4 linked regions of the Tamandua tetradactyla genome follow. The protein of the gene in region 1 purifies or fractionates together with the protein of each later gene. This does not show direct contact. Links are inferred from orthologs where the notes say so. Each region holds a gene or a part of one and is shown in the gene's direction. Other genes may lie near its edges.

Region 1 (7,661 bases):
GCGGGAAGGGCGGCCTGCTGGGCCACGGTTCAGGAGTCAGATCCCAGTACCATGCTGGGCTTGCCAGGGATCCAGATATGAGCTGGGTGTGGGTCCTGCTGGGGACAGCCTGTCACAGCTGGGAGCTGCTAACAGCAGGTGGCAGGGTCTTGAGCTGGACTCTGCAGCCTGGGGAGAAGGTGGGTCGGGATTGTGATCAGGTTCCTGCATTGGTCCCAGAGAGCCACCTAGTTGGAGTTTGCCGGCTCCATGATAGGGATAGTGGGAAAGGACAGTAAGCCTTGAGTATGGGCTGTGGAGAGGTGGAGAGGCAGGAGTTGTGGGAGAAGGGCCAGCCCCACGTTGGGGAGGGTGCAGGAAGGCCAGCTGTTTGGGACCCAGGGCCAGGGCTGCCCCAAGGAGGGGCTCTAACTCTCTTGTCTTTTCCCAAGAAGGGGCTCTAACTCTTTTGTCTCTTCCTAAGAGGGGGCGCTAACTGTCTTGTCTGTTTGATAGCTCTGGACTGATGGCTCCAAAGGAAGTCCTCACAGGCAATGGTGAGTGGCACTGGGGACAGGTGCCCCTTCTGTGACACCCCTCGCTGGCTTTATCCAGCCTTGGACCCAACTGGTGCCAGGACTGCCAAGAGCAGGCTGGCAGAGACGGTGCAGCAGTGCCTCAGCTTCTTGTGCTCAGTGGGGCCCCAGCCCACTAGTAGCAGCTTTCAGGACACTGCATGTGGTGCCCAGGCCTCAATGCTCACTAGCCGGGGCTCTGCCTGGCAGTTGGGTCATGAGGCCAAGGAGCCTCTGTGTGCTGTCTTTGAGTGTCTTTGAAGAGAGCTGTTTGGGCAGAGCCAATGCAGTTTTTTGTTTTTTTTTAATGCTGGGGTTTTATATTTAATAGACCAATAATGTTTCGAAAAGCAATTTTGAATACATGTAGATTCTTATTCCACTGAGTGGCCCAGGACTACTCTAGTTCCAGGGGAGGCTGGAGAGAACCTGGGAAATAGCTGCCATTGGCAGGGATCATGGGTGGCTCGTGAAAATGCCAGGTGAGAGGGGTGATAGGGAACAGGCTCCCTAAAGGGATTTCAGTCCCCCACCACAGGTGACAGACCAATTGCAGGGAAGGGGGCACTTCACAGTGGAGACATCTGGTGGGCCCCACTGCCATCCAGTGACCCAACTGAGCCTCATCAGTAGGGGGACCACCTGACAGCACATGTTCCTTGGTGTGAGGTGGCCGAGTGATGTATCAACACCTCTGCAGCCTGGAACTTTCCAGTGGGGCTGGAGATGTTTCACAGCCTGGTTGGGGGGGGAAGTAGTTCTCTGAACGGGGCAGCTGTGTGACCTGCTTCTCTGCTCTCCCCACCTCCCCCCAGACGAGGTCATAGGGCAGGTACTGAGCATGCTCCAGTCGGAAGACGTCCCGTACACAGCAGCCCTCACGGCCATCCGCCCTTCCCGGGTACGTGCCCTCTTCCTGTGAGGAGAACCCGGGCTCCCGGAGAGTCCAGTGTCAAGGGAACTTTGGGTAAAGGCTATGTGTGGAGCATCTTTGTGGGGGGGGGCGTTGAAGAGTAAGGTTCTAGTCCTTCCTCCTCTAGCCAGTGGTCTTTAATCTTGCCCTCTGAACCTTACGAGTTAGCACACTATGAAAATAAGCAGAGTGCTTCCTACATTTAGGGGATTATGGATATGAGCAAGGCTCGAGGGGTGGCTGGAGGAGAGCCCTTTGCCTCCATCCAGTGGGGCTTTGAGGCAGTGGAGAGCATTGCCCTGTAGGGAGAGGGTGGGCAGGAGAGTCGGAGCTTGGTTCCAGGCTGTTGAGAAGTGGCCTGTTGGGTGTTTCCACAGGTGGCCCGGGATGTGGAAGTGGTCTCTGGGGGGCTCGGTCGCCAGCTGCTACAAAGGCAGATGCTGCCAGAAGTGCCCCATCACCCCGTGAGTTACAATGACACAGCTCCCCGGATCCTATTCTGGGCCCAGAACTTCTCTGTGTCATACAGGGACCACTCAGAGGACCTGACCTCCCTCACCTTTGGCCAGGATCTCAACCTGACCGGCTCCTTCTGGAATGATACTTATGCTGGGTAAGGGGACTCTGGCTGGGGAGGAACCGTGGCACCCGAGGCGATAGGCCTGCCCAAGGCGGGGCTGTGTGCCGGAGGCAAGCGTGGCTGTGGTTGCTGTGGGGTGTGGTAGCTGTGGGGATGTGGGGAGCTGGGGGGTGCTCCAAGTTCTACCACCTCAGGGCTTTCTGTTCCCCAGTTTGGACCTTTGTTTATACTTTTCCTGTCACCTGGGACCTATGCCTTCCCCTTGAGCAGAGCCTTTTGGAGTGAACACGGGCAGGTACCAGGCCCTGTTCTGGGTCTCACGCATACTTCCTGTGTGGCTAGAGAGACTGCCACCCTTTGTTTGATTCTACCCCACCTGCCAAGTCCAGCCCAGACACATCAGCAGCCCCAAGGTGGAGCCGAAAGGAGGAGGAGGGGATCACTGTATTCCAGGCCACCTGAGGAAAGAACTCAAAACTGGAGTTGGGAGACCTGGGTTATGGCCCCAGCTCTATTCTTGACTTGGAGTGTGATGGGGGGAAAGTCTCTCTCACTCTCTGGGCCTCAGTTTTCCCATCTGTATGGTGGGCAGCATGACCTCTTGGGCTGACTCTGATGCCCTGGGGGCAGCTTAGGTGGGAGGAGGCCCTATCTGTGCCTGACCCCATACCTTCGACTGTGATTCTCAGGCTCGCACTGACCTATGAGCAGCTCTTTGGTACCATGGTGACCTTCAAGTAAGTCCTGTGGGGGTGCCAGAGGTGTGGGCAGGCTGGGATGGCCCGGCTCCCAGCACGCCTGACTACCCTGGGCCCTCCCCCAGGTTCATTCTGGCTAACCGCTTCTACCCGGTGTCGGCCCGGTACTGGTTTACCCTGGAGCGCCTGGAAATCCACAGCAATGGCTCCATCATCTACTTCAATGCCTCCCAGGTCACCGGGCCCAGCAACTACTCTTTCCACTGCCAGTACGTCAGCAGCCTCCCCGAGAACGGCAATCTCCTTGTGCCCCGTACTCAGCCCTCACTCTGGGACCTGACTTTCCAGGACTTCCAGGTATGAATAGGGGCAGGGCCGAGCTGGATTGGGGGTATCGGGGCCACGGCAAGGGGTGTGGTGGCAGAGGCCTTGTCCAGGGTGGGATGGGGGAAGAGGCTGGGAGGTCCCAGCACAGTTTCTGACTTGCGTCCTGCTCCTGCCCCAGATCCAGGCCTTCAACGTGACGGGTGAGCGGTTCTCCTATGCCAGCGACTGTGCAGGCTTCTTCTCGCCGGGCATCTGGATGGGCCTCCTCACCTCCCTGGCCATGCTCTTCATCTTTACTTACGGCCTGCACATGCTCCTCAGCCTCAAGACCATGGACCGCTTTGATGACCACAAGGGCCCCTCCATCTCCCTCACCCAGATCGTGTGACCCCTGCATGGAGCCCCAGCTGCCCACAACCTGTCTTGCCCCCTCTACTCTGCAGCCCCTGAGGGGCTTCCCAGGGGAGGCCCCCTCCCTGCTCCAACCCCCAAGGTGTTCATATTCTGGATCTTAGACAAATCTCCTGGGTTCCCTCAGTGTGAGGGGAGGGAAGTTCTAGGGACCCGTTCCTTCCCCCTCTTTTCTCCTTATTTATTCCCGTCTGGCCAACACCACCTTTTGCTGTTTATAGTGCTTTTGTGTCGCAGACAACGCTCCCAGGCTGAATGGGGCTCCCTGAATGTGGGGGCCTCAGCCGTGCTCTTTTATTGTTTGTCTTGCTTGGCCGTCCTGCTAGGATACATTGTTTGGTGATGTCGTGTTAAAAATAAGTAGTACACCGGGGTTTCTGTCTGTGGTTTCGGAAGGCAGGAGCCTCCATGGCGGGTGGTTTGGGTGCGATCACTGGACATCTGGCATTTCCCCAGCAGGAGTGCCTGGCGCAGAAGCCCTGGGTACTCAGTTGTGTTTCCTTCATTAAAATAAAAATGGGTCGCCTTGCTTTGGGCCTCCGCTTCCTCATTTCCCCGCTGAGCAGAAGGGATGCGCTTGGCCGCGGACCGTGCGGGCTGTGGGAGAAGGGGCCCGGATGTGGGCAAGCCGCGCGGCGCGGGGGCGGGACGGGGGCCGAGAGGAGCAGGCCGACAGGTGGACAGGCCTCGCGGGGGTGGGGACCCTAGCCGGTTAGGGTACGAGGGGGAGGAAGGCCGCCTGGACCCTGACCACGTCACCCACCCCCCCCAACCCCGAGGAAAACACAACTCGTGCCCCCCACCCATCCTCCCCGCCCCGGCGGGGGCCACCGCAGCAGCGCGCACCCGCGAACGCCGGCCCGAACGGCGCGGGGGCGCGCGCGAGCCTCCCGGGGGGCGGGGCGGGGCGGGGCGGGGCGCGCGGCTCCTGCGCACGGATCCCGATCGGAGCCGCAGCACCGGCCGCCCCGCCCGCGCGTCCCTGCCCCGCCCTCCACGGGGGCCTTCCGCTCCGCGGACGCGCCCGGGGAGCTGCGCTAGGGTTATGGTCCGGGACCCCGACAGCCGGGCCGGGGACCGCACGAGGGACGGCGTGCCCGCCCGGGGGCGGGGCAGGGGCGGGGAGCGGCCGGGACTCTTTGACGCCGCGGAGGGGTCGTGCGGCTGACAGCCGTGCCGCCATCTTTGGTCCAGTGCGGCGGCGGCGGCGGCGGCGGCGGCTGAGGTGAGGGAGGAGGAGGAGGAGCCGGCGCTGACACCGAGGGCTGAGCCATGGACGAGGAATACGACGTGATCGTGCTGGGCACCGGCCTCACCGTGAGTCGGCGTCGGGGCCTGCCGGCTCCCAGGCGGGCGTCCCCCGCGATGATGCGGCTCCCGGTCGCCCCCTTCCCGGTCCCGTTCCCCGACGCCGCCTGCGCTCGTCGTTTTCCGAAGGGACACCTCGGTGTCCATCCCACGACGGCGCCCACCCCCATCGCGGGGGTGCCGTCGCCTCTAAAGGGCCCCTCCAGCCCGGCCGCCCCCGCGCCGCGTCCCCGGCCTTCTTCCCCTCCCTTCGCCCCCCCGGGAAACGCAGCCCACCCGGGCGATATCCTCTCCCACCTTGCCTGATTCCGGCGGGGGGATGAAGTGCTGGCCAGGGTAGCCCCCGCATAACCTGTCTTCCTCGCGTCTCCTGGGGCCAGGGAGTCCAGGGAATGTTCCAGAAGAAGCTGGAGTGGGGGCAGCACCCCCCTTCCCGCTCTCCCACCCCGGTTTCCCATGGAGACTAGGGCTGAGGAGGATCCGCAGCCTTTGTCCTTGGGTTGGGGACACGGATTGGCGCGGATGTTTATCTCCCCCCTCTTCCCCAGCACCCAGTGGGCCGGCTTCCCAGATGGATTCATGGCCCCCAGTCCGTGGCCCAGAAGGGTCAGGGTCAGGGTCTGAAAAAAGAGCAGCCCAGGCAGGGGTGGCAATGAGCCGAGCCTTTCCTCACTTCCCTTCCGGGGAGGGGGCCCTTCGTGGTCCCACTAGCTCTTCTCTCCATCTCCTCTGTGGCGGGTTGTGTCATATTGTCCTGGCCCTGCATAGACAGAAGACTTTCTTGGCCGGCTAGTGGCTGTCCACGTATCTGCTGGATGCCCTCCTTCTCCCTCAGGCCCTGAGTTAATTCTTTCCTTATTGCCCTTTTGGCCCCACAAGGTGGTGACAAAGGAGACTGGAGCCAGGTGACCTATCACCCCCACTTTTAGGATAAGCGACTAACCTGGGAAGGTGTCATGGGAAGAGCCATCCACCCCAGCAGGACCCTTCCCCGGGGTTGGCTCTCCTTTCAGGCGTGGGGATGGGAAACAGCCAGGGCTGCTGGTGGGCACGTGGGCAGGTGGCCTCTTCTTGCAGGAATGTATCCTGTCTGGGATCATGTCTGTGAACGGGAAGAAGGTGCTGCACATGGACCGGAACCCCTACTACGGGGGTGAGAGCTCCTCCATCACACCCTTGGAGGAGGTGAGGCGTGGCCCAGGCCTGGGCGAGACTCCTGCTTAACTTTGCCGTGCGGCTCGAGGCCGTACCTCACATTCTCTGGGCCACTGGGGTTGGGGGTTAGGGAGGGAGGGGACAGGCCTCAAGGTATCTCTCTCTTTCTTGCTTGCAGCTATATAAGCGTTTTCAATTCGAGGAGGGACCCCCTGAATCAATGGGCCGGGGCCGAGACTGGAATGTTGACCTGATCCCGAAATTTCTCATGGCCAATGGTGAGGAAGATGATGGAGGAATGGGGGTGAGGGTGATTAGGAGGACCAGAGGAAGAGCAGTCAGGCTGGAGGATGAGGAGGGATTCCCCCCCCCCACCTTGCTCTTCTCTCCCTACCCACCCCCCAGGGCAGCTGGTGAAGATGCTGTTGTATACTGAGGTGACTCGCTACCTGGACTTTAAGGTTGTTGAGGGCAGCTTTGTCTACAAGGGGGGCAAGATCTACAAAGTGCCGTCCACTGAGACCGAGGCCTTGGCTTCCAGTGAGTGTGATTGCCTTGGGCCAGGGAACAATGCCGGTGAGATGGGCGTTCTCTATATGGGTAGAAGTTGATTGACAAGAATAGGGAGTGCCTGGCCGGCCTTAGGCTGCATTCTGTAGGCAGTAGTGTACTCAAGGCCCCTTGCTCTGTCATCCCTCACTGCCCTTCTCACGATTCCTCAGGCTCAACATTGGAAGGGAAGTCAGACACGGAGGCTGGGTGGAGAGGAGACTCCCTGGGAGAAACTTCAGCCTTTGAAATAGTCTCTATTTGACCCAGGAACCCTAAGTGTGGTAACAGGGAGGGCCCTTAAAGTCTGTCCCACTCAACCCCCTTTTGTACAGATGGGGAAACCGAGGCTGAGAGGGGTAGAGAGCTTAATCTAAGGTCCCACAGCTTCAGTGCCAGTACTCCTCCAGGAGCGGGTTCCTGGCTGCTGGCTCTACCGCGGGGGAAAGAGGAGCTTTACTTTCAATGCCTAGTGCATCTTATTATAATGTTTCCCGCAGATCTGATGGGCATGTTTGAGAAGCGGCGCTTCCGCAAGTTCTTGGTGTTTGTGGCAAATTTTGATGAGAACGACCCCAAGACCTTTGAAGGGGTCGACCCTCAGACCACCAGCATGCGTGACGTCTACCGAAAGTTTGACTTGGGCCAGGATGTCATTGACTTCACTGGCCACGCCCTGGCGCTCTATCGCACTGATGAGTGAGGGGAAGCTGGGACAGGGCGCAGGGCTTCCTTTCTGTGGCAGCAGGAACATCCCTGGATGTTCTGTACCCCCATGCCAGCCTGTTCCTCTCTCTATTCACTCCTCCCACCTCTTCTATATCCCTCACATACTCAGCCTGCTGTCCTTCCCTCCCATCCCTGGATTTGACCCATATTTTTTCCCCAGACCATCTAGGGTGGTAGGGAGGATGACCTGGTGCCTGGGTTTGGGTAAGCTGGGGGTTCTCCTGTCTTAAGTATTCCCTCCCCTGTCCCCTCAGCTACCTGGACCAACCCTGTCTTGAGACCATCAACCGCATCAAATTGTACAGCGAGTCCCTGGCCCGGTATGGCAAGAGCCCCTATTTGTACCCACTCTATGGCCTTGGTGAGCTGCCCCAGGGATTCGCAAGGTGAGGCATAGCTTTCTTTAGTCGGTATTAGCAGGTAGGACTTCAGCGTTT
Region 2 (6,977 bases), on another chromosome or scaffold:
GCAAAAACAAGTTCCAGGAAGTAAATACTTCTAAGGCTAGGATGTTAATTTCCCTTAAGCAAGTCTCTTCCACACTTCATTGTGCTTTATCTGCATATCTCGGCTTCTACTGAAGTTCCAGATCCTGAACACTCAAGTCTGAATTTCTTGTGTCTGCAAGCTTTAGGTTAAACATCAGCCTTTTAACTCCTACAAGCACTTACACAGAGTCCAGAATATTTCTTTTCCCACAAATCATAGCGGAAAACCTCAGAATTCAAGGACATTGGGCAGAGTATTCAGCAGGGTTTAGCCTTAGTAATGGGACAAAATTTTACTCTGGTTCCATGAAAAAGCTTAAAAGTAGGACCCGAAAGTATCAAGCTGGTTCAAAGCTACTTAACCATATCTCCAAACAAAACAAAATTTTCAATGTCCAGCATCCAATTAAAAATTGCCTGCCATGCAAAGTAGGAAAATACCACCCATAATTAGAGAAAAGTTAATCAATATAAAATAAACTCAGATGTTAAAATTAGCAGAAAGTGGTAATAAAACTATTATCAGAACTATTTTTCATAGGTTTAAGAGAAATCAAGAATGTTAAATAGAGAAAATGGAAGATCATCCAAACTGATCTTCTAGAGATAAAATTATGATATTTAAGATGTAAAGAACACTGGGTAGAACTAACAAAACATTGCAGGTTGCAGAAGAAAAGCTTAGTGAACTTAAAGACGTAACAGAAATGATCACTTAAAGACATAATAGAAATTATCCACAATGAAGCACACAGAGAAAAAAAAGATTGACAAGAAATGAACAGAACATTTGCTGTGGAACAAATTCAACACGATTGCAATCAGAAAAATATTTGAAGAAATAATGGTTGAAAAATTTCCAAATCTGATTAAGAAAAATTATAAACCCACAGACCAAAGAAGTGTAATGAAACTTAACTATATGAACCAGGAAGAAAATCATACCAAGTCATGGCATAATCAGACTGCTTAAAACTAGTGGTAACGTGAAAATCTTAAAAGCAGACAGGGTGGCATAGGGTGGTATATGGGGGGAAAAAGCAGACAGACATAAAAGATATTACATACAAAGGAATAAATAGAAGAGCAACAGTAGACTTCTTGTCGGAAACAATATAAGCCAGAAAATAGTAAAGCAACATCTTCGTAGCAGGAGAAAGAAAAAGCACACCTTGAAATCCAAATTTAGCAAAAATATCTTTCAAAACAGAAGTAAAATTAAGACTTTTGCAGATAAACAAAACTGAAAGAATTCATCACCAGCAGACCTACACTAGATGATTTGTTAAGGCAAAAGAGAAATGATGCCACATGGAAATCAGAATCTACACAAGGAATTCTAGATGTAGTAACTATGTACTTTTTTCTTATTGTTTAAATCTCTTTTAAAGAGAATTGACTATTTAAAGCAAAAGCAATAGTGAATTACTTGGTGTCTATAACATATGCAGCAGTTGTTTTCATTTTGCAAATGGAAACCCAGTATCACAACTGGAAAAGGAAGAAGACAACAGCACAAAGGCGAGAGCAGGATGGCAATGAACTGTTTGCTGTATTGTTATTATACTCCACATAAAGTGTCATAAAATCACTTGGGGTAGATTACGATAAGACCTATACTATAAATCCTAAAACAATCACTAAAATAATACCACAAAATGTTGTGTCTAATAAGCCAACAATAGAGATAAAATGGAATAATAAAAAGCACTTCTGTTCACTAAAGCCTAGAAGCAATGGCACTGCAGTAGTAACGTGTGTGTATACATCTACATAAAATTGTACACTTAAAATGCATACTTAGCATGCAGATGAAAGCCAAATACGAAAGCAACAAAGTAGCCAAGCCATTGATAAAGAAATATATGCAAAATAATCATAGGAAATTACAGCTCTCGAAATATTTCAGCATGGGCCTTCTCTGATTTAGAAGCAAGGAAATTTATCTGCCAATAGTGTCAGAAGAAAGAATAAAATGAAGAGCCAAATGGCTATTGAGGAAGAGGGAAAGAGGCCTCAGGGAAGGTCTGATGCCAATTTATGTGGAGGATGGAGCCAAATAGACACACATAAAATGTATGTACTGGCATTTTTCTCACAGTAGTTGGCTTAGCCAATGCCTATTTTTAAAATACTTATTATCGAGAAGTATCCACATACATTCAGTCCAACCATATTATACAACCAATGGCTCACAATATCATCACAAAGTTGTGTATACCTCACCATGATCATTTTTAGAACATTTGCATCTCTCCAGGAAAAGAACTAATGAAAGAATTCATACACCTCATATCCCTTACCCCTCCCTCTCATTGACCCATAGTATTTAAATCTACCCAATTTTTATCCTTTATCTCCCCCTATTATTTACTTATTTTTTAATCCTTATTATTATTATTATTTAGTCATCTGTCCATACCCTGGATAAAAGAAGCATCAGACGTGAAGTTCTCATAATCACACTTGCACTGTAAAAGCTATATAGTTATACAACCTTCTTCAAGAATCAGGGTTACTGGAGCACAGTTCAACAGTTTCAAGTACTTCTCCCTAACCACTCCAATACACCATAAACTTAAAACGGATATCTATATAATACATAAGAATAACCTCCAGGATAACCTCTTAATTCTGTCTGAAATCTCTCAGCCACTGAGATTTCGTCTTGTCTCATTTCTCTCTTTCTCCTTTTGGTCAAGAAGCCTTTCTCAATCCCATGATGCTGGGCCCCAGCTCATTTCCAGGAGTCAGGTCCCACGTTGCCAGGGAGAATTACACCCCTGGGATTCATGTCCCATGTAGGGGGGAGGACAGTGAGTCCACCTGCCAAGTGGGCTTAGAGATAGAGTCCACATCTGAGCAATAAAAGAGGCTCTCTTAGGGTGACTCTTATGCATAATCAGTAGGCTTAGCCTCTCCTTTGCTCTCCCTAGGAATAAGCTTCATAGAGGTGAGCCCCAAGATTGAGGGTCCAGCCTATTGAATTGAGCCATGCCTTATTTTAGCGTTTTATATATTTTAAACAAGGCTGGGCCTTATAAGATACGGCCATGCTCAGATGGATCAAACTCCCAAACAAAATTTCCTTTCCAACAAATTACTATCTCTACATTTCCAACAGAGATTTGGAACTGTTTTGTTCTTTAAGCCAAAACATCCAGCCAACGACTTTCTTAACCTCAGAAAGGTATCCCCAGCAGATGGTCAGGAAATGTTTCCTGCCAATAAATAACATTTCCCAAACAGTGGGATTTAAAGGGGCAGTAGTCTAGAGTCTTTCAGGCACTCTTCAGCACCTGCACACCTTAAGTTTCTGACAGTTTTTCACAGATACCCGCTCAGCCTCGTCCAGATAAAGAGCCAAACAGGTTTGGTTCGAAAGGTCCACCTCACAGGAGGTAAACTTGTTTTCCCAATCTCAGGGTTGACTCAGGCATGCAGGACACAGGCAAACACTAGGTGACACGTGAGCCTAACTCCCTCTTAGTTACACATTAACCAAGTCCCGGGGTTTATATAAAGGAAGTCTTTTCTCTGGCTGAGAGCCTCGAATGAAGACAAATACGTCTTCAATGAGGAGGACCATTTTGGCGAAAGACTGTATCTGTTCCCCAGCCTAGGCACTTTGCCTCCTCTGTCCAAAGTTGCTCCTACTGTGCCCTGCCCCGCGTCAGGCTGCAGCGACACCCCAAGCCTGCCCACCCTCGACCCCCCTTCCCCGCCCCTCTAATGCAGGTTTCCTCAGTCGCGCCCATCCAGGCCCCACCCCGACGCTGGTATCGCGCACGTGCTCCTTGTTTTGGTGCCAGAGGGGGGACGCGCGCCCTCGCCCTCGCCCTTTCGGCCCCCACCCCCGCGATCCGCGTGCGCAGGCGCGGCGGTGGGTGGGCGGCCGGGCCTCGAGCTCGCGCGCCTTCTGCTCCGCCGCCTAGTCCTCGCGGCCGCGGCTCCCCGGAGGAGGCGGGGTTCAGCCATGTGCGCCTGCGCGGAGCCGGGCAGTGCGGGCAGAGCCGCAGCCGCGGGGTGGCGGGCGGTTGCCTGGGGACCCGGTTGGGCCCCTCCCTCCTTCCCCGTCCACAGCCTCCTACTACCTTATCCACCGAGACGCAGAGAACCGGCTCCGACCCCTTCCCCTCCCGCCGGCGCGAGCCGGAGCTGCAGCCTGTGACCCCGGGGAGAGGCGGTGCCGCTTCCCAAGATGTCGCAGACCGCCATGTCCGAAACCTACGGTACGAGGCCTGGCCGGAGCCGGGGCGGGCGGGGGGCGAGCAACTTGCAGCCCGCGCCGGGGTCTCGGGGTTCTCGGGGGTGCGCGAGCCCCGCCCCACCTCGTCCAACCCCTTCCCTCCCGGCCCGGGCGCGGGCTGCTGGCGCCCTCCCGCGGGCGGAGGGCAGGTGCGGGCGCCCTGCGCGGGGCGGGGCGCGGGGTCCCGGGTCCCGCGGTGAGAAGCGCATTTACGTGATCTGCTTTTAAAAATTTCCTGTTGCTGCTTCTCCTCGCTGGCACCCTAAACGCTTCTCCTTTCTTACTCTGATTTCAGCAGCTCAGAGGTTTGGGAAGCCAGTTGGAGACTGACTCTCAGCTGCGATATTGACCCCAGCAAGGGATCTGAAGGGCTTAGGGCGACGCTTGCATTTGAGTGTTCCTCAGAAATTCCAGTTTGACCTTTCCTGTTTTTAAATTTCTTTCCTTTGGAATTGCAAAGAGGGGTTACCGACAGAATAATTCCTCTCTCCCTGTGGAAACCTCTTACCTCATTTATTGCTTTCTCTCCTTAGGGTTTTTAACCGCCTCTATTTTGCATTCTGGCTATTTATAAATGTCTTAACTGCTTTTAAAGACTGTAAACATCTGAAAACAGAACCGTATTTAATCTTTGTTTCTCGTACAGCATCCAGAGCTGGAGGTCCTCAGCAAAAAAAATATATATATGTATATGTGTATATATAAAAATTATGAAGGCCCACCCAAGTCATATACTGTTTTGTTTTGTTTTTTAACACCCTGGGCGGTAAGAATAGACAATACCGCATGTTTTTGCTTTGTGTCAGGATTGAATCAGTGTTTACTGTCTCTTGCCAGGCTTTCAGTTGTGTGCATTCTCAGATTAAGACTTTGATTTGGAGTTTTGAAGTTTTGCAGTCCCAGAGAGAGGCTCAGGTTCAAAAGCACTGTGACTACCACAAACCAAATTGATCTTATTTCCATTTGCTCCTGTCAGTGACCATTATTCCAGTCAAAAAATATGTGTAGAACCCACTGTTGTGGAGTATGCTAGGTACTCAGCAGGGAGTAAAGCAGACATGCTCTGGTCTCATGGGCAAGTGGGAAGTACAGTGTTAATTATGACACTAATGAATGAGTAATTAAAAACCCAGGTAAGCGTGCTGAAGCTATGTGGCCTAGGAAAATGTGTTAGAAAGAAATCTGACCTAGGCTGGGACGTCAGGTCAGGGAGTTGTTAACAAGTCACAGCACAGCATGTACCCAGGCCCTGTGAAACTGAATTCCAGTACAGGGCCTGTGATTTGAGTACAGGCAGCTAGGAGAAGAGGGATGAGGCAGAGAAGTAAACCTGGTCCTTGGTGGGGCCGGACTTTGTAGAGGGTTTTGGCCTTTCTCCTAAAAGTGGTGAGAAGTATTTGATGGGTTTAAATAGTGGGGCCAGAGAGGATTTGGCCAACCTTTGATGACTCTTGTGACTGATACTTGACCTGCTCCTTTTGGCACTTGGGGCATGATGCTGTGTTCTTAGAAGGCACAGGAAATCTTCCATGAAGTCACTGGTTTCATAAGTACCAGTGTTGTGGGGGCTGAAAGTGCCACAGTAAAAGACAGCCATGTGGTGTGGTTGTCTCTATACAGATCTACAGTCGAAGGTTTCATAAGGAAAATAAATTTTTCTAGCTATTATTAGTTACACTTTTGCTTCTCTTTATTTTGAAGTTCCCCTTTCCCATCTTTTACCCTTTGATGTAGCTAAGGAGCAGTAGGGAGGGGTGGAAAGTCCAAATAAGAAAACTGGGGGTAGGGTGTTCTTGACTGGAAGAATCCGGGAGATAGTTTTGTATGTTTCATTTTTCTGATTATGAAGCGATAAAATATAACATTGGCATCTGACACCTTCCGATACAGCTAATTGAATTTTTGAGCATCATAGATTAACTGATTAAACTCTGATGGTAAGACTTTGATTATTAGTATTCTTAATTCATAATATCTCCCAAATATTTTTTCACTTTTTACATTCTGAATTTAATCTTTTCCTCATTAGAGAAAATTAGTTTTAGAAAGAGGAAGTGTGGTGGTAGTTGAAGTTGCCCACCTAAAATAAAAGTCCCCAAAACCAAGTACAAAGCTGCCACTTGTCATTGACACATATTTACTTAGCATTGTTACTCAAAAGTAAAACCAATGCCCTCCTGCCTGAAACTTGCCTGCTAGTCTGGTGAAACAATGTTTCCTTAACCTTTAAATTCCTTTATATTCTGTGCTCATTTTCTCCCTTCTGTAAAAGGAGTCTCTATATATCTTGACAGGGGTACTATGCAAAATAAAGAGCCAGTGTTTGCAGTACACAGTCAATTAGACATATATACATGGTGTTTAGCATATTAAAGCAATATTTCACCTTTCATTGACTGAGTAGTATTGAACATTTTGTTGCTCAGGAGCCATTCACCAGGTGAAAGCCTACTTAGTATAATTAGTTACTGAAATCTTAAACTTAGGCAACCTGAAATCTTCATTCTGAATATCCCTTACTTGAGACAAGGTTGTCCCCAATACTGTTAGATTCAGAACATTCTTAAAGCCAATTAGTATTATTTGGAAGTCCCCTTGGACTCCTTAGGAGCTTCACTTTGGCCATCGGAAACCTGGAAGGTCACAAAAATAATTGTGATGCCAAGATTTGTGTTGCAAAACTAACCAGTCAAGTCGGTAGTGTAAGT
Region 3 (7,800 bases), on another chromosome or scaffold:
AGGGTGGGCCTCCCGGGTTGGTTCAAAAGGTCTTGAGAGAGTGGGGAAAGGAGACAGGGTTTCGGTTTTTACTGTGAACAGTAGGTGGGGTTCAGGTGAGAGTTCCCGCATGTGCACAGCGGCTCCTGTGGTATTAATCTCCCACCGGTGTCAAAGGCGGGAAGGTTCACCCAGGTGGGTTCTTAACAACTCGCCCAGATGGGAAGGGAAAAGAAGGAAGAGGGAGTCCTAAAAGCTGTCAGCAGCCAAACATCAAAAAATGAAGTCAAGCTTTTTATTACAACATCACTTCTTCAAAGTCTGTTGGTGACTACGTCACTTCAGTTCACACAGTGTTCTAGTTTGCTACCTGCTAGAATGCAATATACCAGAAACGGGATGACTTTTAAAAAGGGGAATTTAATAAGTTGCTAGTTTACAGTGCAAAGGCCAAGAAAATGTCCCAATTAAAACAAATCTCTAGAAATATCCAATCTAAGGCATCCAGGGAAAAATACCTTGGTTCCAGAAGGCCGATGAAGTTTAGGGTTTCTCTCGCAAGTGAGAAGGCACATGATTAACACAGTCAGAGTTTATCTCTCATCAGGACGGGCACGTGGTGAACATGGCATCATCTGCTAGCTTCTTCTCCTGATTTCCTATTTCATGAAGCTCCCCGGAAGGCATTTTCCCTTCCGTCTTCATCTCCAAAGGTTGCTGGCTGGTGGACTCTGCTTCTCGTGGCTATGTCGTTCTGCTCTGCTCTCTATGAATCTCTCATTCTCCAAAATGTTTCCTCTTTTATAGGACTCCAGAAACTAATCCAGACCCACCCAAATGGGTGGAGACATGCCTCTACCTAATCCAGTTTAACAACCACTCTTGATTAAATCACATCTCCAGAGAGATGACCTCATTACAGTTTCAAACATACAATGCTGAATAGGGATTAGAAGAAACGGCTGCCTTGACGAAACAGGATTAGGATTAAAACATGGCTTTTCTAGGGAACATACATCATTTCAAACCAGCACAGACAGCAAAGCATGGAGCTGTATTGCCTCCTTATCTCCTGGTGATAAATCCACACATTTTACAAAAACAGATTATCAAAAAAGGAAATTGGCCAACAAAGATGTGGGGGCAGCAAAGAGGCTAAAAGTGATGATGCCTGAAGTGAAACTTGAATCAAATGTAAATGGAGTCAGAAAAGAAGCAGCTGTCCATGGGGATGCTGACATTCTGCTGTTAGAGACTATCTAGATGGGCAGCCAGAAGAACTCAGTGAAAGGAACTTATTGGCATAAAGGAGAAAAGTGGGTGTGATGAGAAGGATGATGACATCCGAGAGGAAAGGGCACCTGCAAGAATTTAATGTTAAATGAATTCTTGGAGAGATTTCATAACATTGAAAACAAGAAGAATAAAATGTTGGAAGTTGATCCAAACTTAAAAAGGAGGATAACAATTTCCCAGGGCAAAGGGGAAATGCTTACTCTGAGCCATAAGTTAAACAGCAAAAAAAGGCTGGCAATATTTAAACTATTTCTCAACACTTTAATTCTCAATGTTTCTGAAGTTTCGAATTACAGTGTCCTAGATAAATATTTTTTCATTTCCTTATACATTTATAATAATCAGACAATTGTCACTCTCTTGCCAAAAAGGTTTAAAAGTCAGGGAACTATCAAAATGTCTTTTGTTGATTTAAGCCCTCTAGCCTCCTATATTCTGGAACAGCTAAAAGGAAAAATCTGAGGATCATATGGTAACCCATGACAAATTCTGGGATCTGTCCTGTAACTACTTGTGGAAGAGTGTTTTGAAAACTATTGTTTTTTTATTGCTTTGCTTTCTATATATACTATGCTATACAATACAAAAAGTTTTTTTTTTAAAGTCAGGTAGTGTGAGACTTTCCACTTCATTTTTCTTTCTCAAGATATGTTTCAACTAATTGAGGCAATGTGCCTTTCCAAGTAAATTTGGTTACTGATTAAAAAAAAAAAAGTCTCCCATTGTATTTAATAAGATTGTTTTGCCTATTTTGAGCTTGCTCGTTCATTTTAGTGGTCCCACGCTACCAAGCAAAGCAAGCCTTCTTTTTACCACTCCCCCCAACCTTGGTAAAAAACAATCCTCCCCTGATTTTCCATGATTCTACTACCTCCAGATTCCTACCTCCTTTCTCTCCCAGGTTGGCTTCTCTTCCTTTCCCTACCTTTTGGGAATTGGCGATCCCCAGATTCTGTCCTTGAGTTTTTGTTTCTTGCTCTCCATATTCTCCTATTCCTGTCCTTTTGTAAAAGTTGCAAACTCTCCGTGGTGATGGTGATGTTAAAGCGATAGTGAAGAAAGGGTGCCTTACCAAGTGTCAGGATTTGGAAAAAAGAAAGCTACAGGAAGGGATTATTTCACAATCCAGATTTAGGACAGAGCCCAAGTTGCTAACTACCTCTACTAATACGGAAATCTATGAAAATTTCATTCATTCATTCAACAAATATTTACTGAATATGTACTGTATTAATCACAGTTCCTCAGAGAAACTGTACCGATAGGATACATATGTATGTGTGTGTAAATATTAAGAGATTTATTACAGGAATTGGTGCGCATGAAGATGATGATTTGGCAAACTCAATTCCGTAGGGCAAGCCACAAGCTGAAGCTGCAGTGAAGGTAAGGTTGGATTCCCCAGGAAAAGTCACAAGTTGGGAATTCTGACGAAGGTGAGTGTGAATTCCTCAGGCAAAGGGGCCGATGAAGTAGAGGTAGAAATTCATCTTTCTGCCTGCTGAAATCCTCAGTTCTCCCTTTAAGGCCTTCAGCTGATTGAATAAAGAGATTCCCTAATTGTCAAAAGCAACCTTCTTTGTTAATTGTAGATGCAATCAGCCATAGATGCAATCAATTGACTACAGATGCTAATCCACCTACAAAATAAATACCCTCACAGTAACAATCAGACACCGCTTGCTTGGCCAAGCAACTGGACACAATAAAAGAGCCAAGGTGACACATGAAATTGACCATCATGTGTTTTATGAAGCAGGCCTAGTTCTAGGGCTGAGCGCATCCTGGAATGACACTGATGATTGGTTTATAACAGCACACACGCATCTTAACTGTGCCCTCTAGTGGTACCAGCTGAACCTCTGCAATTTATTTAACCCATTACCTTCTTAATGGAGGAAATTATAGATTGCTTTAGGGGGGAAGACAGAGCTTTCTTTGTGGCAAGACAATCTTTATCCCCCACAAGGCACACCACATTCATCTGTCTACTAGTACAGGAAGTGCTATCCATTAGTTTGGACCAAATTAACAATCTTGAGATTACTTTTGCAGAGCTGTCTTGCTTCACAAAACAGAAACAGTCCTGAAAAGTTGTGCATAAATCAGGTCCTTTAATTCCTTACACTTGCATAGTGCTTTCTGGTTTATAACAGACTTTACATAGAGCATTAGTTGAGAGTCACCTCCACCACGCCACACAGAGCCCCATGACCCCCATCTCTGACAACCCTAGATTGCTTCCCTATTGAGCAGAAGAGAAACCCACAGCTCGACAAGTTCTGGGATTGTTAGCTAAGGGATGGGGCTGTATATAAAATAATAGCAATCAAATTCTATTTTAAATACCCTAAGAACTATTGAAAAGTTTTCTCTGTGATTGCTTTTGGGAAACTTGAGTTCTCTAATAAAGGCAAACCTACTCCTATTCACTTTGTGGGCAATCTGGAGATTTACAAGTCAGGTTTGGAGAGTAACATACACCAGCACTCTGCATTTACTAAACCCAGTTCTAAATAAAGCTGAGGTTTGGTGGGTAATGTGATCATTCTCGGAAATGTGCCAGCCGGTATCGTATTTAGGACCCTGTGTTCTGAAGGGGCTCAAGTTCATGCTGAGGAATTTGTCAAACAAATCCCTAAGCAAGGCACTGGCGCAGGAATTTTCTGTAACCTGAAATCCTTTCAAACAGAAGTGGCAAAACATACTGCCCGAGTCTATAATTCCTAAACTTTTGGAGTTTAAACTTCTCACCACTGTTGAGTTGTAACTCGCTGGCTTCCCCAAAGGGGCATGACATTTATTTATTTTAAAAGTTAAACAGGATCGAATCTTCTGGATTTTAAAATTCTAACACTTTTTCGAGTGAAGCAGAGATTAGGGTAAAAAATAAGTGATGCTGCCTGTGCCTGTGGCAAAAAAAAAAGGAAAACAAACAGAATAGGGAAAGACAGAGCTCAGGGTGGTCGGCACTTGCAGCTGTAGGTGGCCTTTGCACCCGAGTGTAGACCACAGCCGGGAAGGCGGGCTTGGGGGCTGTCTCGGTGTCCCGGCAGCATGCTAGTTCTGCGGCAGCAATTGGGGAGAAGAAGTCCAAAAGGATAAATTGAGGTGCGGGGGATCGACAGCTTGTCAACCGTGCACAGAAAAGTGAGGAGGGAGGAGGGGGAGGGTGGAAGGGAAAGAAAAGATAAAAGAGCAGACAGAAAGAAAGGAGATGGAAGGTTAGAAAGAGGTAACTGTACAGCTTGAGTAGAAAGGGGACAGGAAGGAGACAAGAAGCAGGACCTGGAGACAAAGAAGCGGAGCCAGTGAGCTGCTCTGGGAGCGCCCGGAAGCCCCGGCCGGCTGGTCCTCCCACCGACAGGGGGCGCCTTGCTTCTGCCAGCCCTCCTGGTCCGGTCCTCCAGCCGGCAGGGGGCGCGCGGCTCCCGCCCGCTCACCCGGGCCGGTCCTCCCGCCGGCAGGAGGCGCTCTGTCCCCGGCCCGCGCCCCCGAGCCGCCCGCCCCGCCCCGCGCCGCCGCCGCCGCCGCCGCTTCCTGCCCCTCCTCGTCCGGGATGCTGCTGCCGCTGCTGCGGGGCGGCTGTTTCCCTTCCTCCTCTCCCGGCGGCGGCGGCGGCGGCGGCGACAGGGGCGCGGGGGCCGGGCCGGCGGCGCAGCTGCAGCGCGGAGCCCGCGGGCCTCCGGAGCCGCTCGAGCAGGCGGACGGCGGGCGCGGGGCCGAGGAGGGGCGCGGGGCGGCGAGCGGCGGCGGGCTGCGGGCCGCGCGGGAGCCGCATGTGTGCATGGATCCGGGCGCCGCGCGGCAGAGGCGGGCCGGGGGCGGCCTGGGCGCGGGCTCCCCGGCGCTGTCGGGCGGCCAGGCCCGCCGGAGGAAGCAGCCGCCCCGGCCGGCCGACTTCAAGCTGCAGGTCATCATCATCGGCTCCCGCGGCGTGGGCAAGACCAGCCTGATGGAGCGCTTCACCGACGACACCTTCTGCGAGGCCTGCAAGTCCACCGTGGGTAAGGCAGGGCCCGCCGCCCCCGACCCTCCTCCAGCGCGCGGGCAGGTGGGCCCTCTCCCCTGCCGGCCCTTCGGGTCTCAGGCCTCGAGCCGGCCGGCGATCTTCGGCCCGCCTCGGCCTCACATCCTCTCCTACCTCAGCCTCCTCGCGCCGGTCCCTCTTCCCCGGTAGGAGCCGACGACGCTTCCCGCAGAGTCCGCCCGCGCGACCTCGTCGTGCGCTGGTCGGGTCCAGCCTCTTGCAAACCCCGGAGCCTTCTTGCTTTGCTCGCCTAGACTAGGAGGGCGAGGTGGGAAGCAGGCGGGCAGCGTGCAGAGAGTAAAGCTAAAGGCCAGCCCGCGCCGCCGTGGCGCCCTGCACAGAGAGGCCGAGGGGGGGGGGTCTTCTGGAGCAAGTTTCGATCTGTAAAATTTGCCTAAGAAGGAGGAGTATTTCCACTGAAAACAGGGCTAACTCGAGAGTGGGGACCAATTTTTATGATGCTCCGAAGCAATGAAGTTAAGAGTTCGCTATGGAGACTCTGTAAGAGACTAGTAAAAATAAAACTATGCTCCAACAGTTTGCTTTGAATGTAAATATGGGCAGAGCGATTTTGTACTTAAACGTGACTTCAGGATAACCCAGTGACTCTCAGAAGTGGGAACAGGGCGTCCAGTACCAGTCAGGCCGGGCGGTACAATATCGTCAGGGTCTGAAAGGAAAAGTGCAGAGAAAGTTTTGTTATGAGGTCGGATGTACAAGACTTGACATTGAGGCTGTCCCTCGGTGTGGGTAACGTTTGTTTCTGTGAAAAACCCCTTAAAAATGTCAAAGCTAGGGGACTGGCGTCGCTGGGATGGTTAAGTGATAATGCGGTTAGGGGATTTACCCCTGGGAGAGCCAAGAAACATGGGATGGTATTTAGATTTGAAATATGAAATTACAAGTATCGTTCCGTGTACTTGTCTGAGGTTCAAAGAGCCCTGGCTGCTTTAATTGGAAGTCCTTATCTCATTTTTGTGCTCCGAAGTTGACCCGAACAACACTTTGTCTTACTTATCTTCGCAGAACTCTTGCTTGGATCTAAATTGACATTTATTATTGTAACCAGCGGTATTTTCAACGGCATGGGTATGTGAGGTTTAAAAAGTGTAGCACAATTTTGAGGTGAACTGGTTTTAAATTGTGGTGTGACAAAGCAATGCAATATTTAAAATGTCTGATTGAAAAATTAAATCCCCAGTTTTGCGATTGTTTTGTTTTCAAGAAATTGTTTCCCTTAATTCTTTCCTTTTTTTGGAATAGATCATTTTGGAAATGTATGCGCTCTCAGAACCCTGTTTATATGTTGTCTGGTGGGGGGGGTCACATTTCATTCCTTTTCCATGAGTATCCCATTACTCAAGCACCATTTGTTGAATTTTTTGTTTGTTTGTTTTTTGGGAAGTGCATGGACCAGGAATCGAACCCGGGTCCCCCACATGGCAGGCTAGAATTCTACCACTGAACTACCCTTGCGCACCCCACCCCCATTTGTTTTTTAAATATTGGCCTTGGAGTCTGAGATTGAAAGTTCATTAGAATAATTCTGTTTCACATACATGATCTTGGATCCTGTAGATTACAGGGAGTTGGTAATCCATCCAGTGAAGTGCACAGTGCTATTTTAGTATGCAACGTAATAAAGTAGGATTAAAAACAATTCAGAATTATCACTCTATTGTAGCGCCCCACTTAAATATATAAAAGTGAGAGGTAATACTGTGATGCAAAGAGGTCAGTATAGGCTTGGTGGATGGAGGTGAAACATGGAGATCAGACAGTTTCTCTGTCTCTCTTTTTTCTTTTTAATTTTTATTGATAAAACAACGTACAAGCACATACATTCTTAAACATCCCATACATAGTGTACAGCCATTGGCTCACAGTATCATCACATAGTTGTATACTGTGTGATGTATACTTTTAAAAACAAACATAAATACATACTCACATGCATGCTCTCCGTGGAGTTTCCTGTGCAGTTGGGTTTATGTCTTGCATATTTTTGTGTCCTCCTAAAGTGCTTGACTCAGTAAATGTTTATTGTGGAATTCAGAGAAAGATGATAACCTCTGTCCTGATCCAGAATACTCAAACAATTTAAGAAAGCTCTCAGTAGACCCCCTTGGATTTCTGCCTCCAGGTTGCTTTTTCCTCCCACCTAACTCACATTTAGTGAGAACCTCCTGTGTGTTGGGTGCTGTGCTACCCACAGGGATTCAGGTATAAATAGCATGCGGTCTCTGTCCAGAAGTGATCCGAACTTGTGGGGAAGTGGATTCCAGGTGTATAAGGACAGTGGCAGGGATGTCGTGGAGATGTGCCACCCATCTGGGGTCAGCTGAGGCCTGGTCAAAGAGGGCTTCCTCCTCCCTGAAATGCTGAGAAGATAAACTCGTTCTTTGAGTTCCTTTAGAAAAAAATGCGCTTTAAGCATGGTGCTGGGTGTGGTGTGGGATTGTGGTTGCCTCACCTGAATGTCATCTTCATAGGGT
Region 4 (8,000 bases), on another chromosome or scaffold:
TGCACCCAGTGACGATATGCAATATACTTAACAACCAGTATGACATGAGCATTTGACCAATCAGATGGGAAAGCTGGCCAATCAGAATGTATGCCCAACCAAATAATAAAATGGATACCCAAACAATCAGAAAGGATGCCAGACCAATTGGAATGGAAGTCCAGCCAATCAGAATAGACACCTAACTTATCAGAATAAATGCTATCGGTACCAGTCAAATATTTGCCTTCATTTGTCTGGAATTTTTCCCTGTGGGCTCTCTTGTTTATAGCTGGGAAGCAAACTGAGGACAGGGACAACATGATAGTTTTCTCTATTTTCCAGGTGCCCTTGCTAAGCTAGTTTCCACAGAGTAAGCTTAATGACTGTTTGAGTGGACATTATTCACCCGGTAATTGTTCAGGAAATATCAGTGGGCGGGAAAAGTACAGTTTGTCCCTTTCTGAGGAAGATAATTAGAGAATTATCCCACTGGAATATCACTAAATAAATGGTATACTTTTGGATGACACTCAGGTGATAAAAGAAACTGGTATTTTTCAGGGCTTATCATTCAATAGCATCTTGATAAGCTACAGAAATAACATATAATCACACTGATGTCTTAAGCACAGCAATGAATAGAATACTTGCAGAATGCATTACATCGAAATACAATGTAGAGTATAATCAGAAAGGTATTGGTAAGGCCACAAATATTTAGGTCTTATAGGAAAAGTTTTGGTTTGCTAATGCTGCCAGAATGCAATATACCAGAAATGGATTGACTTTTCCAAAGGGGATTTATTAGGATACAAATTTAAAGTGCTAAAGCCATGAAAATGTCCAAATTAAAGCCTCAACAAGAGGATACTTTCACTCAAGAAAGGCCAATTCCCATCCAGGGTTTCTCTGTCACATGGGAAGGCACATGGCAAGGTCTGCTAGCCCTTTGCTCATGGGTCTCATTGCTATCAACTTCTGGTTCCAGGGGCTACCTCTGTTAGCTTCTGTCTGTCTCCAAGCATCTCCAAACATCTGCAGCTGAGCTTTCTTCAAAATGTTCCTCTCTTAAAAGGACTTCAGTAAACTAACCAAGACCTACCTTGAACAGATAGGGTCACATATCCATCTAAGCAAAAGGTCACACCCACAATTAAGTGTGTCATATCTCCATGGAGACAACCTAATCAAGAGGTCTCACTCTACAGTAGGTCTGCCCCCACAAGATTGCATTAGTATTAAAAGAACATGGCTTTTCTGGAGTACCTTAACAGTTTCAAACTAGCACAGCAAACAATAAACTAAAGAGGTTATTTAAATAACTAGAGTGCTGGCAGTTAGTTAGATGTTCCTTCCTTCATTCATTCATTCATTCAACAATTTAATTGAGTGCCTACTATGTGTTAGAAAAGGCACCATGCTAGGCATGCTGGGGACAGAGCAGGAAATGAGCAATGTCCCTTTCCTCAAAGAACTCAAGTTTCAAGGAAGAAGACAAAGAGGTACACAAACTATTACATAACACAGAGAGAATTTACTAAAAAGCTGAGCCATCATCAGTTAAGATAACCATGGAGAAGTACAGCCTTGTAGCCCCGGGACAGCTGTGCTCAATAGCTAATAGAGAACCAGAATCCAAGAGTGGTTGAGCAGAAGCATCTACACTGGCCAGAGCAGACTGATAAAGACTGATTTGCCCCTAATTTTCAGGACTATGTAAGCTCCTGGATTCTTATAGGATACAATTAGGGAAGGGAAAGTCTCAACAATGGCTGATAATGGTTTTGCCAACTCTTGAGAAAAAGGGAATCTTGACCAAATGTAATTTAAGCAATTAAGAAAGATGATGTTTCTTGCATTCAAGTGTCATGAAGCAAGTTAAACCAATTTAAAATGCCTATTTTAATTTGAAAATTTGTACAGAAAACAGACTCTCAAGAAGATGTTGGTTGATTTTTTTGGGATCTATGATCCATGAGGAAGATATGCCTTTGGAATTGTGCAACATGCCTGAACTGCTTGCTACCATGAGTAAAGCCAGCCTGAGGACAAGGTAAATACCTAAAGGAAGGCAAGAACAAGATAATACAGGAAAATGAATTCAGGCTCTGATCAAACCCAGTCTGAAGCTCACAGAGACACTAACCAGACAGACCTCCTTTGAGCACTATGACCCTACCTCCTTAGAAAATTCACAGAGAACTCAGATTGACCCAGCCTGTGTCACAAGCTTACTTCTTTATCCTGGAGGAATTGAGGTATCATGATTCAAAGCCATCGGGGGTGAGGGGCGGAGAGGAGACAACTTCAAAAAAGAAGGAAAGAGTGATGGCCTAACAAAAACCGCAGAGGGTAAACTGCTTGGACTTCTAGATTTCTGTAACCATGCTATCATGTACATATAAGTGTTAGTCTCATAGAAGGCTTCAATACATATTTACTGAATCAAACAGAATGTGCAAGCTGCCTGGTGCAGTGATTGTAGCACTTCTGGGCTAGGCTGTGGCAACTGGCAAAAGTGTTGATGTGGTTTCCTTAGAACACAAAAATGTAGATTTTTAGAAAGGAGTTAACTGGTATCACTTGAGGAAAGAAGGGACAACGGCAACAACCTATCACCTGTGGTACTCTTAGGTTTACAAATCCACTTTTTGTCCAGTTCTTTGAGCAAAGTACCTTGACTCAATTAGTACTCTGTTACTACCACCAGAATCTGATCCCTAAATAACATACTATTGAAAAATCAATAATGTACCAAGAGGAAAAAAAACTCTGATCATCCTTGAATTAATGTCAATATACCAAAATACTTGACTGGTTCAACAATGGTGCCCGAACTTACCAGATAGAATAGCAGTATTTTATACACTTGGTAATAGAGAAAATGGGGAAGTGAAAATAAGACAGAACTATTTTTTAAAAGATTCCCATTAATTAACAAAATTTCCCTAAGGAAATTTAGGGACTTTAAAATTCCTAACTCTGATTTTTCAGAATTTAAGTTCTTTATCACTTCAGTGTGTTCTTATTCATACAGAAAGAGAATACCAAGAGTTGTGTGCAGATGGTGGGACTGAAAGTTATTTTAATAAGTACACATTTTAAAAGAGAAAGAAGATTCCAGCGATCTTTGAAGATTTTTTTCCCTTCTTTTTCAGGAATGAGGATGAACGTGAACTAAGCTGTACACGCTTGTTTAGACCCTGGCGGAGGGCAGTTCACAGACGTGCTCAAGGACTGGCTGGAACAAAGAAGCTCAGCCTGTACCAGAGGGCAAAATCTCTCCTCATTAATCAAACTTGACTTTGACTTCATTAGAGCTTTGTTCCCATCAAGTGGACTCCCAGAATTAGACATTAGGTTAGCAGCAGTGCCTTTTGGGTACTATATGAGCAATAAGTGTTAGTAATGATGCATTTCACAATCCATCCACAAAGAAGGTGAAGGCCGATTCTATACTCAATGTAATCTTCTCCCACAACAGGACTAAGAATGGAATATTTCTGGCCTTATAAATGAAGTCACAAGGCACTCAAAATGTGTTTTAGAGAAGCCTGTTGTCTTGTTCAGCTATCTGTCCAAGCTGTTCTTATTCCACTAATGGTTGAGTCTACTGGTTCCTTTAATAACTTCCTCTAACTTTCCAGAAGGTGTTTCCTTATGTCTAAGGCAAATGTCAGTGGTTCTTTAACTTTTTCGTTTCAGGACTCCTTGATCCTCTTAAAAACAGCTTTGCTTATGTGAGTTATATCTGTCGATATTTGCAACATTAGAATTAAAATTGAGAAGGGAGGAGAGATGACAGAGTCCTGACAGGTTAAAGGTTCGCACGCCAGACCTTCTCAGCTGCTCACTTGCCCTTTCATATCAACCTGAGCCAGTAAACTCCCCTTCCAGAACAGCTAATCTGGCTTGGTTTCTGCTACAAGTGCATGAAAATGACTCTAACACTTTATCCACAAAGCAACTAAAGAATTAGTCCAAGACAGCAAATAACAGAGTATTGAGTATAATGAAATGCTGTTTTCCCCTCTTCATTAATTACCGCTAACATACCTGTATAAGCCTTACAGGTTTCAAAGTGCTTTTCACATTCAGCAATTTATTTAATTTTCGCTGCAACTCGTTTTATACCAATTTTACAGATGACAAAACCGAGGTGCAAAGAGGCTCTGTGACTGACTTGTCACAGCAGTTAAGGCTAAGCCCAGACAAAAATCCAAACTTTATTTTCTAAAGACATCTACCGTCATACTTTCCGCATCACATTATGCTTTCAATTTTGAAGGGCAAAGACCTGTAGCACAGTCTTAACATTGTCAGTTCCTAGATTTTTTTTTTTTTTAAATCCATCATTCTCGTGGTGGTGGTTCTGCGCAGCAGATCCTCTAAAATACTCAGTATATTTGACTTGCAGTGTGACTTGAAGAAACGGGCGTGGGTGAGGTTCAAGTCAGCACAGAAATCGTTCTTTCCGAGCCCCGTTTGACTGCGGGACTGCGGAAGGGGGTTTAGAGGTGTTGCTGGGCAGGAACTGGAAAAGCAGGATAATGCACTCTACAGATAACCCAGAGGCTGCGCCACAACGCGCAAAGGAAAGAAAGCATCTCCTCTTCGGGACCAAGCGGAAGAGATGCGTGTACGGTGGGATTCCAGATTCCGAGGTCCTGGATTTGAAAGGTCCCCGCACACAAAGAAACCCCGAAGTTAAGTTCCCCGGGCGGGAAGCGCAGAATCTGAATCGGGATTTCCTTTCCCAGCTCGGGTGGAAACGCCTAGTTCACTGGTCACTCCACCGACTGTGAATCTTCTGTTATTCGCGGGGGCCACTTCGACCGCCCGCGCCGGGCACGCCCGAGGCTCTCCGACGGAACTACAAGTCCCATGAAGCCCTGGGGCGCGGGCGGTGATGACGAAGCCCTAGTGGATTGGCCGCGCGGGGCGGGGCGCGCAGGCCTTTTTCGAGAGGAGAGGCGGGGCGCGGGGCGGGGCGAGCGGCGGCTCGGCGGGCACGCCCCCTCGCCCGCGGCCCCCTCCCCGCCTCTCTCCACCGCCTCCTCACGCTCTCCGGTCAGAGGGCCGGAGCGAGAAGATGGCGAAGACGTACGATTATCTGTTCAAGCTGCTGCTGATCGGCGACTCGGGGGTGGGCAAGACCTGCCTTCTGTTCCGCTTCTCCGAGGACGCCTTCAACACCACCTTCATCTCCACTATCGGTGAGGGAGGGGCCGTGGCCCGGGACGGGCGGTGAGAAACGGGAGGTGGGAGGGAGGGGGCTGGAAAGGGGGCGGGGGGCTTGGGAGCCCCCGCGGGGAGATCCCGGGGACGGTAGGGCTCGAGGGCATTGGAAGAGGGCGAAGGCGTGAGAGAGAGCGGCGGGCGGGGTCGTAGGGCTGGTGGAGAGAAGGGGAATTTGGAGGCAAAGGAAGGGAAGGGGAAACAGAGGAACAAGTACTAGGGGTATGGGGGAAATGATAGGGCTGAGCTGACAGGAATGGGTTCTAAGGGACAAAGTGGGGAGACGCAGGAAATCTTATGGGGAGAGAGATGGGGACAGTGGGTGTGAAAATGGATTAAAAGACAGGAAAGAGGAAGGAACTGTGAAGGGGGAAATGAAGGGTTGGGGGAATGGGAGGGAGTGAAATCAAGGGACTGAGGACACAAGGGACGAGAGAGGCGAGAACCAGACAATCGGAAGGGGATTAAGGGGGATGAGTGGTCGGGAGGTGAGGGATGAGGGGATTCTGGCCACAAGAGGCCTGGACAGAGATGTCATGGGAAGGGGCAAAGAAAATTGCAGGTGGGAGAAGAGTACAGGAGACAAGAGACGGATTGGGGGATACTTTAGTGGAGAAAGTAAAGAAGAGCTGGCCTGAGATAGAAAGGGAAATAGTATGTATGGTGAAGAGGTTGAGCAGAGAAGATAGAGATGAAAAAGGGAGAGGAAATAGAAAGCAGCAGGATGCAGAACTTTCTGTGGTAACTGGGAACACTCCTTATCATTTTCTCTACTTCCTTTGGATCGAGTGCAGGAGAAAGAGCAAAAAATTGATTTATGGTGAAATAATGCCTGTGGAGCATTAAATTGTTCCATGAGTATTAAGAGGTGGTAAGGGAATTGGTTATACTGAGGTGTGGTGTGGTCAGGAAAATATGGTTCACCCCTTTACTACCTTCTCCTGAGAAGCAGCAGTTCCCAGTTATTTCTTGGGCTTGCATGTTTAATAACTTCTCAGCCAAGGAATTGATTGATCTTACATTCTCCCTGCCTCCCTTGTATATTTTGCACTGGTTCCAATTATTACTTGCTAAATGAATCACAAAATGCAATGCACCCCTCAGTTACTTCCAGTTGACTTAAGAGTTTTTCTGATCTTGGCTGCAAGCTTTTCTTCCTACTTTCGTACTGGAAATGGTTGTATTTTGGTAACAAGATCTCTAACAATAAACTGAAGAGTTAATCAACTCTTGCTTTAAGCTGCCTATAGAAGTAAACTAATCATTTTCCTCCAAAATAGTTGCAGTCAATTAAGCACCTTAAGAATCTTAGCTTTTTGTTTGTCTGGGTGATGTTTTTGACCTCTAAAAGTAGCTCATCCAGACATCGTTCAAATGGTAGTTATAGCATATTTTCATCGTGAGTTTCTGGGTTGGGAAATACTCTAGGGGTCTAGTGCTTTGGTATTAAGTGTGTGTTTTAAGGGTGATTTATTTTTATTTAAAAAAAATATTTAGGTACAGAGTGCTCTTCAAATCAAGTATTAGAAAAGGCTATGGTTTGTTTGTTTTGCCCTCTTAATTTTTATATGGATTGGGTGGTTGGAAAACTCATGGCTGTTTGATATTTGAGCTTAGGGAAGTTTCAGTTGCAAGTTCTTGGCAGTCAGTCTTGAGTGGGACTTTTTCTTTTCTAAGGAAGCAGGTTTTAAATGTCATCTCTCAAGTATAATCCTAAGATGTTTGGTGGGAGCTGCTACAGGAACTACAGGGTGTTAATTTTTGACGCTGGTCCTAATTTCAGAACCCCAAATAATCCTTTTTCATTGCTGAATGCAAACTACAGTACATTTGGTCTTAAAGGACAATTTTTAACCAGTTGAGTGGGTGTCCTGTTGTCCATTCTTTGTGTGACCCTCCTGAACTATCTTCCTGCCTTGAAAGTGAGTGAATCTTGATGTTGCTATTTCTGATAAGCTCGTTGGATAACTTTTGTTTCTTTTAGCTTTTCTTTTTTTTTTTTTTTTGCCTTAATTTTTGTTCCACATTTCCTGTATAAGGGTGTCTGCTTCCTTTTAGAATAGCATCTTTAAAAAGTACTTTTCGTTCTGAAGGCTTAGAATCTTTATTGAGTGGATTTTTAAAAATGGAATGTGAGTTCTGTGGAGGGTTACAACTATTAAAGCATGAAAACCAGTGTCTTGAAACTATAATAGAGTAGAAGGTAGATGTTATATGGGGTGACTCTCATGTAAGACCTCGGTCTTTATGTTTTCTGTGAGGTAGATGTGGTAAGGCGAGGCTGTGAGCTGTGTCTTCGTTGACATGGAGGAGGGGAAGTCCCATACCTCTTAATTTAACCCCAGAACTCTGATAGGAAGTGGTAACATGCTGCCTTCAAACAGCAGAAGAGTTTATATACCTGAAACCTAATGCTTTGCAGTTGAAATTAAGCTGGGAAATTAAGGTGAATGTTAACACTGTTCTGGCGAAAAGTTCCACAGGCTTTCCTAACCACAAACAGAGGTTTGGAGTGTTAACATTTCTAGCAGCAATATCTACCTTTCAGGTCACCCACTCTCACCCCCAGGTGATCTGAAGTTGTTGGGTGAGAGTTGGTGGTCCTCCTCTTCCTGAAGCATGAGTTTTCTTCAAGTCTCAAGGTGTGTCCTATATCCTGGGCTTTTCTGACTGGGTTCTGACAAGGTTTGCCACAGCATTGCTAACAAAATTTGCTAAGGCCTCACAGGAAAGATCCATTTCATGACACCTCAGGTTTGTGTGTGTATGTTTTGGTAGAT

What was found.
Region 2: the proteins of GDI1 (region 1) and RAB4A purify together in Homo sapiens (co-immunoprecipitation; 4 studies listed by BioGRID and IntAct, counting the BioPlex papers as one, with this or other methods). This does not show direct contact. The link is inferred for Tamandua tetradactyla from reciprocal best matches to the Homo sapiens genes GDI1 and RAB4A.
Region 3: the proteins of GDI1 (region 1) and RAB12 purify together in Homo sapiens (co-immunoprecipitation; 4 studies listed by BioGRID and IntAct, counting the BioPlex papers as one, with this or other methods). This does not show direct contact. The link is inferred for Tamandua tetradactyla from reciprocal best matches to the Homo sapiens genes GDI1 and RAB12.
Region 4: the proteins of GDI1 (region 1) and RAB8B purify together in Homo sapiens (affinity purification with mass spectrometry; 3 studies listed by BioGRID and IntAct, counting the BioPlex papers as one, with this or other methods). This does not show direct contact. The link is inferred for Tamandua tetradactyla from reciprocal best matches to the Homo sapiens genes GDI1 and RAB8B.

What each region holds. Positions count from the first base shown.
Region 1 is NC_135353.1:6,666,729-6,674,389, forward strand, and holds the start of GDI1 (rab GDP dissociation inhibitor alpha), read left to right. Parts: upstream 1-4,658; 5' UTR 4,659-4,755; coding exon 4,756-4,800; intron 4,801-5,868; coding exon 5,869-5,976; intron 5,977-6,124; coding exon 6,125-6,224; intron 6,225-6,351; coding exon 6,352-6,486; intron 6,487-6,995; coding exon 6,996-7,194; intron 7,195-7,478; coding exon 7,479-7,610; intron 7,611-7,661. Other genes in the region: ATP6AP1 (V-type proton ATPase subunit S1), read left to right, coding at 496-536, 1,370-1,455, 1,845-2,080, 2,737-2,784, 2,871-3,102, 3,251-3,460. UniProt on the Homo sapiens protein: Regulates the GDP/GTP exchange reaction of most Rab proteins by inhibiting the dissociation of GDP from them, and the subsequent binding of GTP to them. Promotes the dissociation of GDP-bound Rab proteins from the membrane and inhibits their activation.
Region 2 is NC_135328.1:153,603,648-153,610,624, forward strand, and holds the start of RAB4A (ras-related protein Rab-4A), read left to right. Parts: upstream 1-3,977; 5' UTR 3,978-4,221; coding exon 4,222-4,252; intron 4,253-6,977. UniProt on the Homo sapiens protein: The small GTPases Rab are key regulators of intracellular membrane trafficking, from the formation of transport vesicles to their fusion with membranes.
Region 3 is NC_135344.1:72,013,794-72,021,593, forward strand, and holds the start of RAB12 (ras-related protein Rab-12), read left to right. Parts: upstream 1-4,796; 5' UTR 4,797-4,834; coding exon 4,835-5,282; intron 5,283-7,800. UniProt on the Homo sapiens protein: The small GTPases Rab are key regulators of intracellular membrane trafficking, from the formation of transport vesicles to their fusion with membranes.
Region 4 is NC_135340.1:79,512,083-79,520,082, forward strand, and holds the start of RAB8B (ras-related protein Rab-8B), read left to right. Parts: upstream 1-4,986; 5' UTR 4,987-5,074; coding exon 5,075-5,198; intron 5,199-8,000. UniProt on the Homo sapiens protein: The small GTPases Rab are key regulators of intracellular membrane trafficking, from the formation of transport vesicles to their fusion with membranes.